Schizosaccharomyces pombe: one gene and its partners. The gene in region 3 interacts genetically with the main gene of each other region. Each region holds a gene or a part of one and is shown on either strand. Other genes may lie near its edges.

Region 1 (3,475 bases), on a different chromosome or scaffold from region 3:
CTTCTAGAGAATCAGATTCAGGAGCCCGAACCAGAAAACATAACTTCATCACAATACCCAAATCAAGACGTTATAAAAGAAATACCTGTTACAGCCTCTGAAACTTCTCCACCGCACGCACCAGCTGTCTCATCTACCCCTGTTACTTCTGCGCCCCCTGTTTCGCAAACAAAAGTTACAAAGGTTTCGGTTCCCAAAAAGACATCTAAAAAGTTTCTTATAAAACATAACAAGTGTATTATATCTTAAGTTGGCAATTTTTGCTCCCTTAGAACATCATTTTTATCATTGGAATCGATTTCTCCCCGAAATTTCGTTTTAGTGTTCAATTGCATTCACATAGCATAATCCGGTTTTTATTTCTCTCATTTGTCCTCGAATTGTCTAACGCTCATTTATAATTGTATAGTTAGCTGATATCCATTTAAGCAATTTCTTTTAAATACATGTTTTCATTCACTACTTTTTCGATAGTATAATACAAAATTGGATCACGAAGAAATACATACTGTGTAATTATTGTTTCATACAAATTAGTCGTCTCAATATTTGCTTTCTAATAGAATTAATAGTATTGAAATAAAAATTTATTAATTTAAATATACCTAGAACACAATCACCATTTTACCGTCCGTATATCACCATTGATGTTTACTTTGTAGCCTTCATGCGAATATACAAATTTTTGAGCTTAGATCCGTTAAATAATTTAGAATTTAATTTAACGTCTTTGGCCATACTTTCAAAATCTTCAGTTCCGTACTTATTTATAAGTCTTTGAATATATGCATGTTCAAATGCACTTAAAGGAAGCATTTTGTTAGACTGTCGAGCTGCTTTTTTTACAGCTTCTTCTTCTAGTTGACGAACAACCTCCGTTTTAGCCGGTGCAATGCTAATTTCTTTGTCTAAAACATCATCAAGTGTTTTTGCCTCTCCGTGAATAATCTCAATAATATTTCCGTCATCATCTCTTCTAACAATTGCTTGACCAGGTGGTAAAGATTTTTTCAATTCATCCAATTCCTCTGAGGTAAGCTCACGATCCTCATTTTCACGTTTAGGATCAGGATAAAGCTTCTCAACACCTCCCGTAACATAATTAGGAGTAGCTAAAAGACCCAACCTCGCATAACTATTTATTTGTTAATAGCAATTCTATAAGAAAGAAAAGAACATAAGACCAAGAAGGAGCGCAAAACTTTTTCCTCAATTTTCATTTGTATAAAACAAATAAAGCAATACTTATTAACTTACTTCTGCCTTAAGGTTGCATGTTTATCCCAATTTTGTTGAATCACAAAATTTCCGTAAATTTTGGCCTTCGCCTTTTTGTTAGCATTACGCCTGGTTAAACGAGGCTTTCCAGATCTTTGCTTATTCCTTTGTCTAGGGTTTGCCATCTTATCTATTTAGAGATAAATGGGGGGAAATGGAAATTGGTAAGCAATCAAAAAAATTTGGTTGTTCGTGAGTTTAAGTGGAGGTGAATGTAGACTACGTGCAGTATGTCTACATAATATTTCAACGAAACACAATAAGATAGTTCTGTGACCTAGTTTAACAATGACTGTTGTCCATTTAATTTATATTTCTCAAATTAATAGACGTTGACAGTTATCACATTTATCATCAATCCTTTTGGTATTGTATAAAATTTAAGTACCCTCATCTTTTTTTTGTCTACATTATAAAGCTGTATGAATTGTGAAACGATATAATATTCTCATAGAGATTTCAATAAAATCTTGAAACAAAATTTATAAATTGATCTTCCTCAACGAATACACTAATTTTAGTGGCATTCCAATATCTAGCACTAACTGTAAATTTCTAAAAATTCCCAAGAATTGTTGAAGTCGAGAAATCATGTATTTTACGTGTCGAATTACCAGAGTAAACAACAGCTATAGGATACTTTTAAAATCACTGTTTAGTCATTTGGTTTACAACTTTATTATATTAACAGTTTTAAATGAACCGACAATTGAAACACCAATTTTTTAATTATTTTTTTATGCCTAATTAAAGATTATTTTTATGATTTCGTTATTCCCTAACCCCAGTATAAAAAAAATTTCGTTTTCTCCTCGTCAAACTTCTTCTTTACCTGCTAATTCTAGTACAATAGTACAACGATTGTTATCGTTATTTGCTAACGTTCATTATGCGATGATTTCTTAGTTGCAATGTCTTAAAACCAAATATATTTTTCGTTGCAGTTCGCAAAATACATTAGCAAGAAACATCGCTTCTATACTATCTTTCCCGATCATTCAAAAGTCGAAATTGTCATTTGCCATCATCGGCTACTTTTTCATTCAGCATTTTTGGTTTTGAGTTTTTGGAAAATTAACGTTAGCACGTCTCAATTATAACAAGCTGAAAATGTCTGAAAAAGTTGACGTTGGTGAAAGCGTCAAAGGAGACGCCTCAGAAAATGCAGTTAAAGAAGTTGCTGAAAGACCAATTGTTATGATAGATAATTATGACAGTTTCACCTGGAACGTTGTTCAATATCTTTCTAATCTGGAAAAACGATATCCTATTATGGTTTTTCGCAATGATGAAATCACTGTCGATGAATTAGAAAAACTTAATCCTTTAAAACTAGTTCTCTCACCTGGGCCTGGACATCCTGCGCGTGATGGTGGTATTTGTAACGAGGCTATTTCGAGATTTGCTGGAAAGATTCCTATACTTGGTGTGTGTATGGGACTTCAGTGTATTTTTGAGACAATGGGTGGTAAAGTTGATTCCGCTGGTGAAATCATACATGGAAAAGTTTCTAAAATAAATCACGACGGTCTCGGATTTTACCAAGGAATACCTCAAAATATTTCTGTAACAAGATATCATTCTCTTGCTGGAAAAATTTCATCACTTCCTGATTGTTTGGACGTTACAAGCTGGACCGAGAATGGTGTAATAATGGGTGCACGCCATAAAAAGTATGCTATTGAGGGTGTTCAATACCATCCTGAAAGTATCCTTAGTGAGTATGGCAAAGAGTATATTCAGAATTTTTTGAATCTCACTGCTGGAACCTGGGAAGAAAATGGCATTGTTATGCCTACAAAAAATAACGCATTTAACGCGGCTATGCGTGAAAATTCGAATTCTGTTTCTTCAACTAAAATTCGCAAACAAGAATCTATCCTTGAGAAAATCCACGCGCAGAGACTTATTGACATTGCTGAAAGTAAAAGAAAGCCTGGTCTTTCTGTGGGTGATTTGCAAACATATTTGAACCTTAACATAGCACCTCCATGTATAAATTTTTATGAGAGATTAAAGCAATCTAAACCAGCTTTAATGGCTGAAGTCAAACGTGCTTCCCCTTCTAAAGGTGACATTAAGTTAGACGCAAATGCTGCTATCCAAGCTCTTACTTATGCTCAGGTTGGCGCCTCAGTCATATCTGTGTTAACAGAACCAAAATGGTTCAAAGGCTCATTGAATGATTTGTTTGTTG
Region 2 (3,742 bases), on a different chromosome or scaffold from region 3:
GGGCTGCCTCACAATAATCCTTCTTGATTAAATAATCATATATGTACGAATTCAGTAAGGATTGTGTGGTCCTATCGGCATTATTTACGTGCGGTTGTTTTTGATCTTTTTGTAAATCATGTTTCTGTCCTTGCTGGCTTGGCAATCCGACGCCGGACCTTAAACCTGGATCAGCCATAAACTAGAAATGTGCAGAAGTTAGGTGTTGCGAACGAGAATATGGATCTACAACGATGCACGCTGGCGATATATAATTTTAAAGATCTGCGCACGCTATACTACCGCAACATTTTGTATATCATATTTTCATTTTAGTTTTCTATCAATTACTGAAAATCATAAAATCATAAATGTTATGTTTGAATTTAGTTACAGAGTAAATCAAAACCCTTGAAGAGTAAAACTCTATAGAGGTTTCTTATTTTCCAAGGCAAGTCATGCTCTAAAAACATTTTTAATAATAGTTATTATGTATATATTCGGATTTGAATTATCTAAAATGGGCTATATTAAAATATGGTTCTAAGATGATATACTTTCAATGAATCAACCAGTGGTAATTTCAGATTTTATATATGCAAACTTACTAACTGAAAACTGTGGAATTAAGGGATAGGTGGGTTTAGAAAGTAAATGTAAATTGATATTTCTTCATCCGTAAAAACATCATAATGAATTAAGAATACTATTAGCCGCAGTTTTTTGTAAGAATGCTGTAATTATGTAGATAGTATCAATTATTCTTGTTTTATTTACCTTGCCTTGGAAAATATACATATCTACAGCTTTTTACATAAGTTAGCGATGTAAATACTAAGCACTGGAACTCATATTATCATTTTCTAAAGTTGTTAGAAATGCTTTTAGTAGTAAAGATTTTGGAATGTGTTCACTATTCGAAAACTAGTTGCAAATTGTGTTTTTCAGTAAATCAAGCAAGATGCTTAATTTTGGCACTACAAGTTTTTAGAAAGTACTTACATGAAGATTGGAAGCTTTGCGTAAATTTGTTTAGTTTCACATATTCCACATTTTAGTTTTCTATAATTCATTTTTTATCAAGTAGAAAATTTAGTTTCTCTCTTTCATTGCAAATGCTATAATCCGGCTTTAGAACTACTATCTACTGGATAATCCTTTATTATTGCCATGCTAGATTCCCTGTAGAATTATGGATTTTGATATTAATCAAAAATTAATTTCTTAAAGTACAAATATATTCGACGGGAGAAAGTTTATGAAATTTTGTATGCGGTTATACCTAATCAGTGATTATCTCGTTGTTTATATTTCAATTTTTGAGGCGACTAGAATAGACAATTCAGCCCAGAAAACCGTACATACAATTTTTAAGTAGAAAAATTTGTTAATAACTATACCCAAAAAAAATGTGATTACGCATCTTTAGCTAATGGCAAAATGCTTCTCAAGTGTTTTTGATGGTGGTAAAATCGAGATAGACTAGATATTAAAGCCGCTCGTTAAATATTATAAGACATTAATTGATACTAGTGTTTTTCCTCAAGCACAAACAAGGTCTGTATATAGTATACGGAATAGATATTTCTTACAATTTATTTATACTGTTTAAACGAATTTTAAATGGCTTCCATGAGAAGGGTAAATTTTTAGGGATTTTGCCTGTAATCAAAATGTTGTTCATATAAATTCTACTTTAAGTCCTGTTTATAGGAATGAGCTCATCATTCCTCGTTATTTGAACACCAAAGAAAAGTCCGATTTATTGGTATTTTGGTTGTGACAGAAACCCCTGCGACGATTGTCGATCCGTTTTATATATTTTCCACTCCCGTCCCTGCTATTCATTTTACGTTCTAATTCTGAAAACTGTCAATCAGAAATTGCAGTTATTATATATAGTAAACTGGAAATGGATAAACGAAAGGAATCGGAGAGTGCGACTAATGGACATTTAGTATGTTCGATTGCTAAAAAAACATGCACTAATATAAATAGGTTAAAAGAATTAGAATCCAAGATTCTAGCTTAATAACGGAGGGTTCTGTATTGCAACGAACATCTGATCTCAATGTTCCAAACCTACAGATGTTTGGGCATACGGTATGGTTGTATTGAAATAAATCATACTAACGCTTTAGGCTGAAGTTTTAGTCGCCAGGTTCGATCCTTCTGGATCATACTTTGCTTCTGGCGGTATGGATAGACAGATACGTAAGTGCAGCTGTAATTAAAATGTTGATTTATAATAACTGTGGTTTAGTTCTTTGGAATGTGTTTGGTGACGTTAAAAACTACGGAGTATTAAATGGCTGCAAGGGAGCCATAACTGATTTACAGTGGAGCAGGGATTCACGCGTAGTTTACTGTTCTTCCTCCGATACACACCTCATGTCTTGGGACGCTGTCTCTGGTCAAAAAATCCGGAAGCATAAAGGCCACGCTGGCGTGGTGAATGCTTTAGACGTTTTAAAAGTTGGTTCCGAACTTCTGACTTCTGTAAGTGATGATTGTACTATGAAGGTATGGATATTGTTATTAAAATATGGAATAGTTACTAAATTTAAGGTATGGGACTCGCGGTCAAAAGACTGCATAAAAACAATAGAAGAAAAATATCCCTTAACGGCTGTCGCAATAGCGCAGCAAGGAACCCAAGTTTTTATCGGTGGTATTGACGGAGCTATTAAAATCTGGGATTTACGAAACAATCACTGCTCGCATGTTCTGAAAGGGCATAAAGATATCATTACTAGTTTGGCTATATCTAAAGATGGATCTAGCTTACTTTCTAATTCTATGGACAACACGGGTATGCTAATTTTTTTTGGGTGTTTGATCAACCTTTGTACTAATGCTATTTTAATTTATAGTTCGAATATTTGATGTAAAACCTTTTGCTTCTGCTCAACGACAGTTGCAAATTTTTGAAGGAGCTATTCACGGACAGGAGCATAATTTGTTAGGTGTTGCCTGGAGTCGTAATTCACGATTCGTTGGTGCTGGTAGCTCTGATAAAAACGTATATGTTTGGTCAGCCACAGGCGATTTACGTTATGTATTACCCGGACATGAGGGTTCAGTAAATCACGTTGACTTTCATCCACATCAGGACATCATTCTTTCATGTTCCTCAGATCGAACAATATTTCTTGGGGAATTGAATTAATTTTTATTTCATGAATAATTTTTCAATAAACATTAAATACTATTAAAATTTTCTGTAGAACTTATTATTTGACGATCTTAGTTGTCAAGCCTGTTATAATTCCTATAACTACAAGTTTCTTAGATTTCGATTAATTATCAAATTATATGCGTTATGAGTACATCTTTATGGTAATGATACATCATCTAATCTTATTTCTAATTAAACAGGTTAAATAACTTAGAAGAATGGATGAATGAGGACTATATTCGAGCAATTTTTGAAAATGTTAGAAAAGTAAACTATTATGAAGATGGCGAGTCGGGAGCTATTTTAAAAACTTGCTGCATTGAATTTGAGAGTCAAGATGCTGCTAGGAATGCTTTAGAAAGGCAATCTACTCAACGATTAATATCTGGGAACCCGATCTCTTTAGATGTGGTTCCTGAATGGCAAAAACCTAGTTACTATATGCTTTTCATTAGTAACATTGATCCAGAAGTGTCTGAAAATGATATAAAATACTTGTTTCAACGTTATAACTTTATTTCTGCTCGTGTTCTACGTTGTGTTGACGGGACTTCAACTAGCATTGCTTTCATATGGTTAGCTAAT
Region 3 (3,988 bases):
ATGGTTAATTGTTGAGCCGGTAAAATGTACTAAACTCTAGATTCTGTGTGAGTGCGACGCGAATATGGGTTTTTAGTAAACTAAACGAAATGAAATTGTGCCACGTTGGAGCATTTATACTCTACATACCTTGAGAAAAATGTTATTTCGTATAGTATGTTTATGTTGTATATAGAAACTTAGCAAGGACCCTGTCAATTTAACAAACTGTTATAAATAAAATATTTATCGAGAAAATAATGAAGCAAGTTTATTAAGATTTAGTGTATAGCGAATTAGCAGGAATTAGCTTTATTAAGAGTTGCGAGATCTTCCATATTTTAAAAAGTAATTCAAAAGCTAATATACTTAGTGTATAAACTTTATATATAATATTTCTTTGCTATTTTAATTGAATAAAGGAAAAAATGATATATACTGTTTTGCTTCTTACATCCTGTCATTATCTAATTTACAGTTCGTTCGAAACCCGGCAAAAAAATCCGTTGATTAATAAATAGCTATCGTCTGCTAAATAGGGGTTAAGAAGTAACAAATTGAAATTTCGTTTGCACGAGCGGAAAAAAGGAATATTATTTTTTTGTAGCAGCAGTATATTGTTGAAAAGCTAATCTAGTGAGGATGTCAATATAAAAACAGTGATTTTAGAAAGACTCTGAATAATTTAATTCTTTGCTACCAGAATTTAACTTGCAATTCAGAAATTTATTAAATTAATAAATAAGCGACTTATCAGTTTGCATATACTACATTGCATTTTTCAAGTTTCCAGACACATAACCTTAGAAACGAGTCATTCATGATGTATCATTAAGAATTCATTTTGTAAACGCAGTAAATGACATTCATAGTATTTGATTAAGCATAAAACGAGAGATAAAAACATTAGTAACATTATGTGATAATATCTTAATTAAAACCAATTAATAAATTTTGGTTAATGAAACACCTGTGAGGTGATTCTGGTTGGTTCCATAATTGAAATTCATAACGAACGCACCTTATGTGCATGATTTGGACAGGACAGTCAATTCGAACATTGTTAAGAATAGTTATATTCTATATGATCATGAAAACGATAAAGAAAATTATTTTTTCACAGGAGTAGGCATATTTTGTAGTTCTATTTGTTCAATATCAGAACCAACTGTTGCATCTGAATGTAATGCTGTTTCTCCGTTATGTGTAGGAAGAGTGTTAGAAACACAGACGTCTCCTGATGTCACAATTTTAAAGCCGAAAGCCAAAATTAAAATCTTGTAGACCAGCCAATGGCCGAAATATAAGATTCCAACCATAGCTGCTATAACTCCTGCTATTGTTGCAGTGATAATCACACTGAACGCTGCTATAACTCCTGCTATTGTTGCAGTGATAATCACACTGAACGCTGCTATAACCACACCGACCCATGCTATAACCATACTGATTAACGGTAGAGCTTTTATAATAAGCTTGGAGCAGTCTACAATAAACTATTAGTAAAGAGAAAAAACAGCTTCAGTGTGAAGGAAACGTACAGTTAAAAGCAGACAATAAGAGTATGAATAAGCCAACATAAATAACAATAGGCCCCCAAATTTCACTGTGGGACTGATTTTCACCTATCCATTCTAAATATGACTCTTTTATTTTAAATTTCTTGTCTATTGTTAAAATAGTGATAATAGACCAAATAATAAGCAAGACCCATCGAGATTTGTCCTGAGTAGAAATTCTTCCATTAGGATAATAGCTATTGTGGAATTTAGAAAATTCAGTAAAAAGGTCATTTAAAAACTCTTTTATTTTATTTGTTTTAATATTCATCTTGTCTTTTTGAGGCTTAATGGTGTTGGTAAAGAGGGATTGTCGGGATTGTCGAGATCGTTGAGATTGTTTGTTTACCTTTTCAGGCTTACACAAATCAAGTCCCTGCTCTAGGTCCACATTACAAACATCTTCCACCATAAATAACTCATTGTAACCAGGAGGTTCAACCTGTTTTTTCAAGCTTTCTGGATTTGACATTGGAATAGAACGACAGCACTGTAATTTGATGACTTCTGATTCACTAGTATTTTTCCCCAAAGTAAAATTAAAAAGAGTGGTTTATGGAAAATAAAAAAGAAAATATACTAAAATATTTTAAGCCATAAACGAGAAAATTAAAAAAAAAACCAAAATGGTGAATGTTTTACGTTCTGAGGTGTCTCATTTATTTAGGAAAAGCATTATGATGTTGGCATCTCGTAATCCTTACAACCTTTTTCTTTTCACAATTTAACAGCTACGCAGTTTGGTATCTGTTTAACGATACGTATAATAGCGGTGAGTTTCTTTTGCGACCTACAAACTAGTGGTATGCGGTATGTCTAACTAACAATTGTTATAATTATTGTTATAAGGAGTCTAATGGTATCGGTCACCGATATAGCTAAATAACTGAACTGAGGAACGATGTTCAGTTGTGTCTCTATTTATAGTATTGCAAACAATATAGACTTTAATAAATCATCATCGAGATCTATTTAATTGTTGTATCATCTATCATTGTATAATTTGAATCCTTAATTATGACATTGCTAAGGATGATTACATTCTATATGATCATGAAAACGATAAAGATTAATTTTTTCACAGGAGTAGGCATATTTTGTAATTCTATTTGTTGAATGTCAGAACCAACTGTTGCATCTGACTGTAATGCCGTTTTTCCATTATGTGTAGGAAGACTGTCAGAAGTAAGGACACCACCTCCCGATGGCTCAACTTTTAAACCGAAAGCCATAATTAAAATCTTGTAGACCCCAATGGCCGAGATATAAGATTCCAGCCAAGGATATAAACATGCAGCAAAATTTTATTTTCCTACATTTTCTATTTTGCTATTTTCATAAATGTTTATGTTAGCATAATTTAATTTTTAGTCTTCCTTTTTTTTTTGTTCTAGATGAACAATAAGGCATCTAGAACACCATTAGAACAGAAGCTTTTTAGTTTAGATTATTTTAGATCTTTTGAAAACTTTAAAAGAGTAAAATGTAAATAAAAAAAAAAAAAAAAAAAAAAGTTAAGTTATAATTTATCGAATTTTATGTTGTTTTATCTTAATTTACTTTGTTTTATTTTATTTTATTAAGTTTTAATATTTTTGTTAATTTTTTTTTGTTTTATTTTAATTTACTTTGATTAATTTTCATTTTATTTATTTAGTATATTTATTTATTTTCTATCAAAATAGCGAAACTTGTATAATATATTAATTCATTATTCATTATTCATTATTTTCATTATCTATAATATTTCAACTTCATATACTTTTCTATTTTTGTCGCTATATTCATTCTACAACATGACATATCACTCTTCTTTTTGTTTATTATTACTCAAACATTTTCTCTTCTAATTAACGAAATTTAATCTTTTTCTCTATTTGTTTCATTATTGTTTCATTATCTGTTACTACTTTATTCTCTACTTTATTTTTTTACTTTCAATAACAATAACAAAAGTTGTACTTTTCTCTATCGTATTCAATTCCTATTTGACATATTCATTGCCAGCTGATATATCACCAGTAATTGTAACGACTGTTTTTTCAATAATTTAGTTGATTTGTTTTAGTGGAATAGAATGCACTAATTTCATCATCTACTTTCCAATATTTTCATCTTCTATCTCTTTCTCTTTCTCTTTCTCTTCCTCTTCCTCTTTTCTATCTTTCTACTTGAAATTCCTTTTTCTAATTGACATTCCTTTTTCTTACTATTACTCCTCTTATTCATCACTATACGTCGTTCAGTTGGCTTTATCGTACCCTTAACTTTTTTTAACGAAGCTAATATTTATCAAAAACAAACATCTGTTTTCATCCTACATACACGTACTCTTTTACTGCCAGCTACTTTGCATTTTTTTTTATTTCGATTTACTAGAGTCACTTGTTTATTTTTCTATTTACATTCTCGCAATGTATTTGTATATCTCTATTTATATCACCATACTT
Region 4 (4,760 bases), 2.6 Mb from region 3:
TAATCAGCGTCAGGTTGTTTATAGAATTACTTTTGATGAATGAAATACGCTGAACAATTTAATTATGAGGAAGTGATTATATTTTCCATCTAACCAAGTGTATACTCACTTTGCTTCCTTGTCGCAAGCAATTATCTGCTTAGCAATTAATAATCCGAAAAAAATAATCGTTTATTTATTGAAAGTTTTAATTGTCTAAATATTGATGCTCTTGAGATGTACATTTGTTAAGAAAATGAATTAAATTATTCTAACCCCTCCCCCGAAAAAAAAATGAAAAAATACTAAAAAAGATAATGATTATGGAAAATTTTAAAGGAAAAAATTTGTTTCCGCAGCGCTACTCTTGATTATTTCGTAAGACCAAGTAAACTAAATATAAAGCGTTTTGTCTTAAAAAACTATTGCAGTATAGAATGTTTCCTCTACTGCAAAACAAAATCCATACAGCTAGCTCTTAGGGTTATCAATTAGGGTTATTGAAGCCATACATTTTACCTGATCACTGTTTATGGCAGCGATCACAGTCATGTTAAATTACGTTACAAGTCGGTATTTAGCCACGTTCCTTCAACCACTTAGTCAAAAATGGATCGCATTTCTGCTCAAAAAGATATTTTCAAAAAGGGTATGTCCCTGTAAAACTATTAATTTAACATCTTTTAGTCGTCAATAAGGAAAACTCTTCCATTTTCGTGAGTCTTGGCGTATTTGCAGTTTCTGTAGCCATCTTGAAATCCAGACTGGGAAACTTTTTGGTACCACAATTGTAAATGGATGTTTGAATTTCACGGACTAAACGTCTTCAGCTTTGGATTCAGAAAAATATTACTTCATAACGTTGTATGGTTGTTTCATAAATAAAATGAACTCCCAGTTTCAATAAAGGTTCAAAGCTAAACAACATATATCTTTCATGAATATCATTGTGCTTTGTAATTTTTGTTAGCGATCTAAAATTTGAAATATTTATGTTATCTAGTGTCATGCGAAGTACGTAGGAGCATTAGTTGGTAGGAACATTTTTACATATAAGCTAGTTCGATTCTGATATCTTGCGTCTATTTATGTTTCCTTAGATGTTTGAAGTCAATAACCAATATTCGTCCATTCACTACAGATTTTTGTGTGAACATTGGACTAGGAACCATTTCGTTTGTCGTTTATGCGAAAATTTTTATGTACGAATGTAGTCGGCGTGGAGAATGTTTTAACAACGACTCCTTCATTTACAGATAGATGCCAAACAAGAAACGTTTTTCCTCCTTTTAATATCCAACCGGTTACATGGTTGTGCAACATCCAAATATACTAAGTATGGAGAATATCCGTTTTTTCGAAAAATTGCTACTATTCTGAATTAAGGATGCGTACTATTGGTAAACATTGCGCTTGATGTTTCGAATAAGCCTTTCAATGGAAGTTGTTTCTTATTTATCGCGGTTATTGGTATAGACGGATGTTTTGCACCAAATTCATTCGTCTTTTCAAATACGAATTGATTTCGTTGTGGAGAGTAAGAGCAGGAACCTTAATGTAAGCGAAATTATCGCCTTCTTAAGTCATGTCACGGAAACCTGAAACAATATTTAATTATTTAATTGGGATCTAAGATCCAACTATTTAATAATATAAGAATCAAAAGATCCTCTTCTAGTAACTTTTTCTTGTATTTTTTTGCAAGCCAAAGTTTTAATGACGGCCTTTTAATTCATTGATACACTCTATTACGTAATAGATTGAAAATCAGTAAAACTGATTAAGGCATAGCAAGCAATTGTACTTTATTTCAGTCATCGTCAGCGCCGTTACACGCGGCTCACTACAAAGCGGTGTGTCGTCATCCCTTTCCTTCAGATTCCTCTCTATCCTTTAACCAAGCCGCTTTTTTTGGTTAAATCCTTCATCTTTCAATAAATTGCGAAATCTCTCAGTGTTGTTTTTCGTATAAATTTGTAATTTATACGGTGGAGTTGATTAGTTATTCGTTCAACTCGCACTGTGCATATTTATCGGCTTATTTTAGTGAATATTTTCGATTTTCTGCCGAATATTATATTTGTATTTGTAGCTACACGCTATAAACAAGAAAATTAGAAGATTCCTCCAAATTCATATTTTAAGCTTCATATCCACAAGTGTTTCCCTTTGTTCCAGATCGAGATTATCGTAAGCGAAACTAGCTCTTTGTCAGTTGTTCCATTAAATTGATTAGCCGGTTGGTGCGTTCATTTCAAACTCTTTGACTTTTTTCCTTTAAAGCACTTCTTTTTTAGATTCCTTTGGTTAATCTGTCAACTACTACTTTGTAAATAGTATAACTTGTGGTTCCTTTTTGCACTGTTGTGCATCGACTCACGTTCCAAGAGATCACTATTTTACGTTACTTTAAAGTGATTCGAGTGTGAATGAAGGCACTCGTATTCTGCCTATACTGATATATTCTTTGCAATACTTTACAAAAAGGCGTCTCTATTCATATGGATTCGGATTCGCCCATTCTTCCATTATCGAACAATCCTCCTGCTGCGAGGACTCATGATCACTCGCAGCGTAATAATCATGCTCGTCATGTCTCGTCTTCTGGAACAACTTTGTTTGCTCCTGTCAAACCGGCAACCAAGAAATACAATTACAGAAGGGTGTCTCCCCATGGAAGCTATATTAGCGTACGAAATTTTTTACTTGCTCTGCATTTTACTAATTAAACATATAGCCCTTAGAAGCAATGACTGTGAAACTAGCTGATACATATTCAATTTGTAATCCAAAATTCCAGTTTTCTTCCGAACAAAACCCTCGGAGACCACTCACCAAACCCAGTGAAGGAGTTCACAACCATGGTTTTGATAACGTCAATCATGATTATGTATTGTATGTTAACGATTTGCTAGGAACGGATGAAGGCCGTAAATATTTGATTCTCGACACCCTGGGGCATGGCACATTTGGTCAAGTTGCTAGATGCCAAGATCTTAAAACCCAACAAATTGTAGCTATTAAAGTTATCAAAAATAAGCCGGCATTTTATAACCAATGTGTGATGGAGGTTTCTATACTAGAGCTCCTTAACAATAAGTACGATCCAGAAGACAAGCGCCATTTAATTCGTTTATATGATCAATTTATGCATAAAAATCATTTGTGTCTCGTTTTTGAGTTACTCAGTATTAATCTTTATGAGCTTATCAAGCAAAATCAGTTCCGTGGTTTACATTTAAGTCTTGTTCGTTCTTTCGCAACGCAACTTCTATCGTGCACATCTCTCCTCAAACAAGCTCGAATCATACATTGTGATCTAAAGCCGGAAAATATCCTGTTGCAGGATTTATCATCACCGATTGTGAAAGTGATAGATTTTGGTAGTGCTTGTCACGAACGCCAAACAGTTTATACCTATATTCAATCGCGATTCTATCGCAGTCCGGAAGTAATTTTAGGACTACATTATAACTGTGGAATTGATATGTGGTCTTTGGGATGCATTTTAGCTGAACTATTCTTAGGTCTTCCCTTGTTCCCTGGAAATTCCGAATATAATCAATTATGTCGGATTGTTGACATGCTTGGTAATCCTCCCACTTGGATGTTAGAAATGGGTAAAAATTCGAAGAAATATTACAATTCTGGTTTTGTAAACGGTAGAAAAACTTATGAGCTTAAATCGATCGAACAGTTTTCTATCGAAAACAACAAAACAGAGCAACCTGGAAAACAATATTTTGGTGAAAAGACACTCGATGCTATTGTTTTAAATTATCCTCGCCGAAAAACCACACCTAAGCTTACTCCTGAAGAACATGAAGAGAGACTTTGTTTCATCGATTTCATAAAGCAGTTTTTAGAGTTAAATCCTTTGAAGAGATGGACTCCTGACCAGGCGAAAAATCATCCTTTTATCACAGGTGCCTCTTTCAGTCAATACTGCATTGACAAACAAAAACCACTGCTTACAACTCAAAGAACGAGGAACCGTTCTCATACTATTGGAAATCAAGCGGTGGTTCCTCCTTCCTTACAGCGTGCAAGCACTTATGTTTCCAACGAACCTGAAGAATTTGTACATACTCGACCGCTGCCTCAATATTATCCTCCCGCTAATGAGAACGAAAATGTAGATGAATTTTTCTAATGTCATATTTTACGTATAGAAACATTCAAATTTATTTAAAATATTTAATAGGCATGATCCATTCCAAATTTTTTTTTTATGTTGTACCAATTTTCTAATAGCTTTCGTAAAACGTTTTCAATTTTCATAAAGCATTCAAACTTTTGATGATATATACATACTACGAATATTTTCAAAGTTCCTTCGAGGCTTCAATATGCAGTTTTCAATAGTAAATAGTATAAAGCATTTACAAATTTAACGCTATATTTAGCGCTACGGTAAATACTCTATGTAGAGAGGTTTTATACTTTTATGTAGTAGACATTCACAAATCGCCAAAATGAAATCAAGTTCACTTGAAAATGGGACTCTTGCTAATGCGGGTGTTTACGAAGATGATCTAGATAGCGACGAAGAATTGGTCTCAGAAGAAGAATTTGAAAACTTTAATAATGAAGATTCAGAAGACGATGAAGACTCAAACAACGAATCAAAAACAGCTAAAAGTCGTATGTTAAAAATTCTTTTATTTTCTTAATTAATATTTACTCACAAATTTGAAGAGTTAGCTGAGATTCCGTTTGATACATTGTTGAATGCTCAAAGGGACCTGCTTAAAGAACAGCAAAAAACAAAGATAATGACA

Evidence for each region.
Region 1: mutations in SPOM_SPAC212.04C (region 3) and nop16 together harm fitness more than expected from each alone (negative genetic interaction), as found in Schizosaccharomyces pombe (one large-scale study listed by BioGRID).
Region 2: mutations in SPOM_SPAC212.04C (region 3) and spf38 together harm fitness more than expected from each alone (negative genetic interaction), as found in Schizosaccharomyces pombe (one large-scale study listed by BioGRID).
Region 4: mutations in SPOM_SPAC212.04C (region 3) and ppk15 together harm fitness less than expected from each alone (positive genetic interaction), as found in Schizosaccharomyces pombe (one large-scale study listed by BioGRID).

The regions. Positions count from the first base shown.
Region 1 is NC_003423.3:4,378,414-4,381,888, reverse strand, and holds nop16 (ribosome biogenesis protein Nop16), read right to left. Parts: upstream 1,473-3,475; 5' UTR 1,404-1,472; coding exon 1,258-1,403; intron 1,136-1,257; coding exon 652-1,135; 3' UTR 566-651; downstream 1-565. Other genes in the region: chr4 (SEL1/TPR repeat protein1, 3-beta-glucan synthase regulatory factor Chf3/Chr4), read left to right, coding at 1-249; trp1 (anthranilate synthase component II), read left to right, coding at 2,389-3,475. UniProt on the Schizosaccharomyces pombe protein: Involved in the biogenesis of the 60S ribosomal subunit.
Region 2 is NC_003423.3:4,402,670-4,406,411, forward strand, and holds spf38 (U5 snRNP complex subunit Spf38), read left to right. Parts: upstream 1-1,760; 5' UTR 1,761-1,891; coding exon 1,892-1,936; exon of another isoform or gene 1,937-1,977; coding exon 1,978-2,082; exon of another isoform or gene 2,083-2,120; coding exon 2,121-2,193; exon of another isoform or gene 2,194-2,242; coding exon 2,243-2,502; intron 2,503-2,547; coding exon 2,548-2,791; intron 2,792-2,852; coding exon 2,853-3,148; 3' UTR 3,149-3,217; downstream 3,218-3,742. Other genes in the region: adn2 (transcription factor), read right to left, coding at 1-178; U1 snRNP-associated protein Usp109, read left to right, coding at 3,302-3,318, 3,358-3,742. UniProt on the Schizosaccharomyces pombe protein: Involved in mRNA splicing where it associates with cdc5 and the other cwf proteins as part of the spliceosome.
Region 3 is NC_003424.3:19,609-23,596, reverse strand, and holds SPOM_SPAC212.04C (uncharacterized protein), read right to left. Parts: upstream 2,011-3,988; coding exon 1,521-2,010; intron 1,466-1,520; coding exon 1,089-1,465; 3' UTR 547-1,088; downstream 1-546. Other genes in the region: SPOM_SPAC212.03 (uncharacterized protein), read left to right, coding at 1-8.
Region 4 is NC_003424.3:2,583,275-2,588,034, forward strand, and holds ppk15 (serine/threonine protein kinase Ppk15), read left to right. Parts: upstream 1-1,898; 5' UTR 1,899-2,480; coding exon 2,481-2,669; intron 2,670-2,716; coding exon 2,717-4,132; 3' UTR 4,133-4,200; downstream 4,201-4,760. Other genes in the region: tom6 (uncharacterized protein), read left to right, coding at 589-628, 667-773.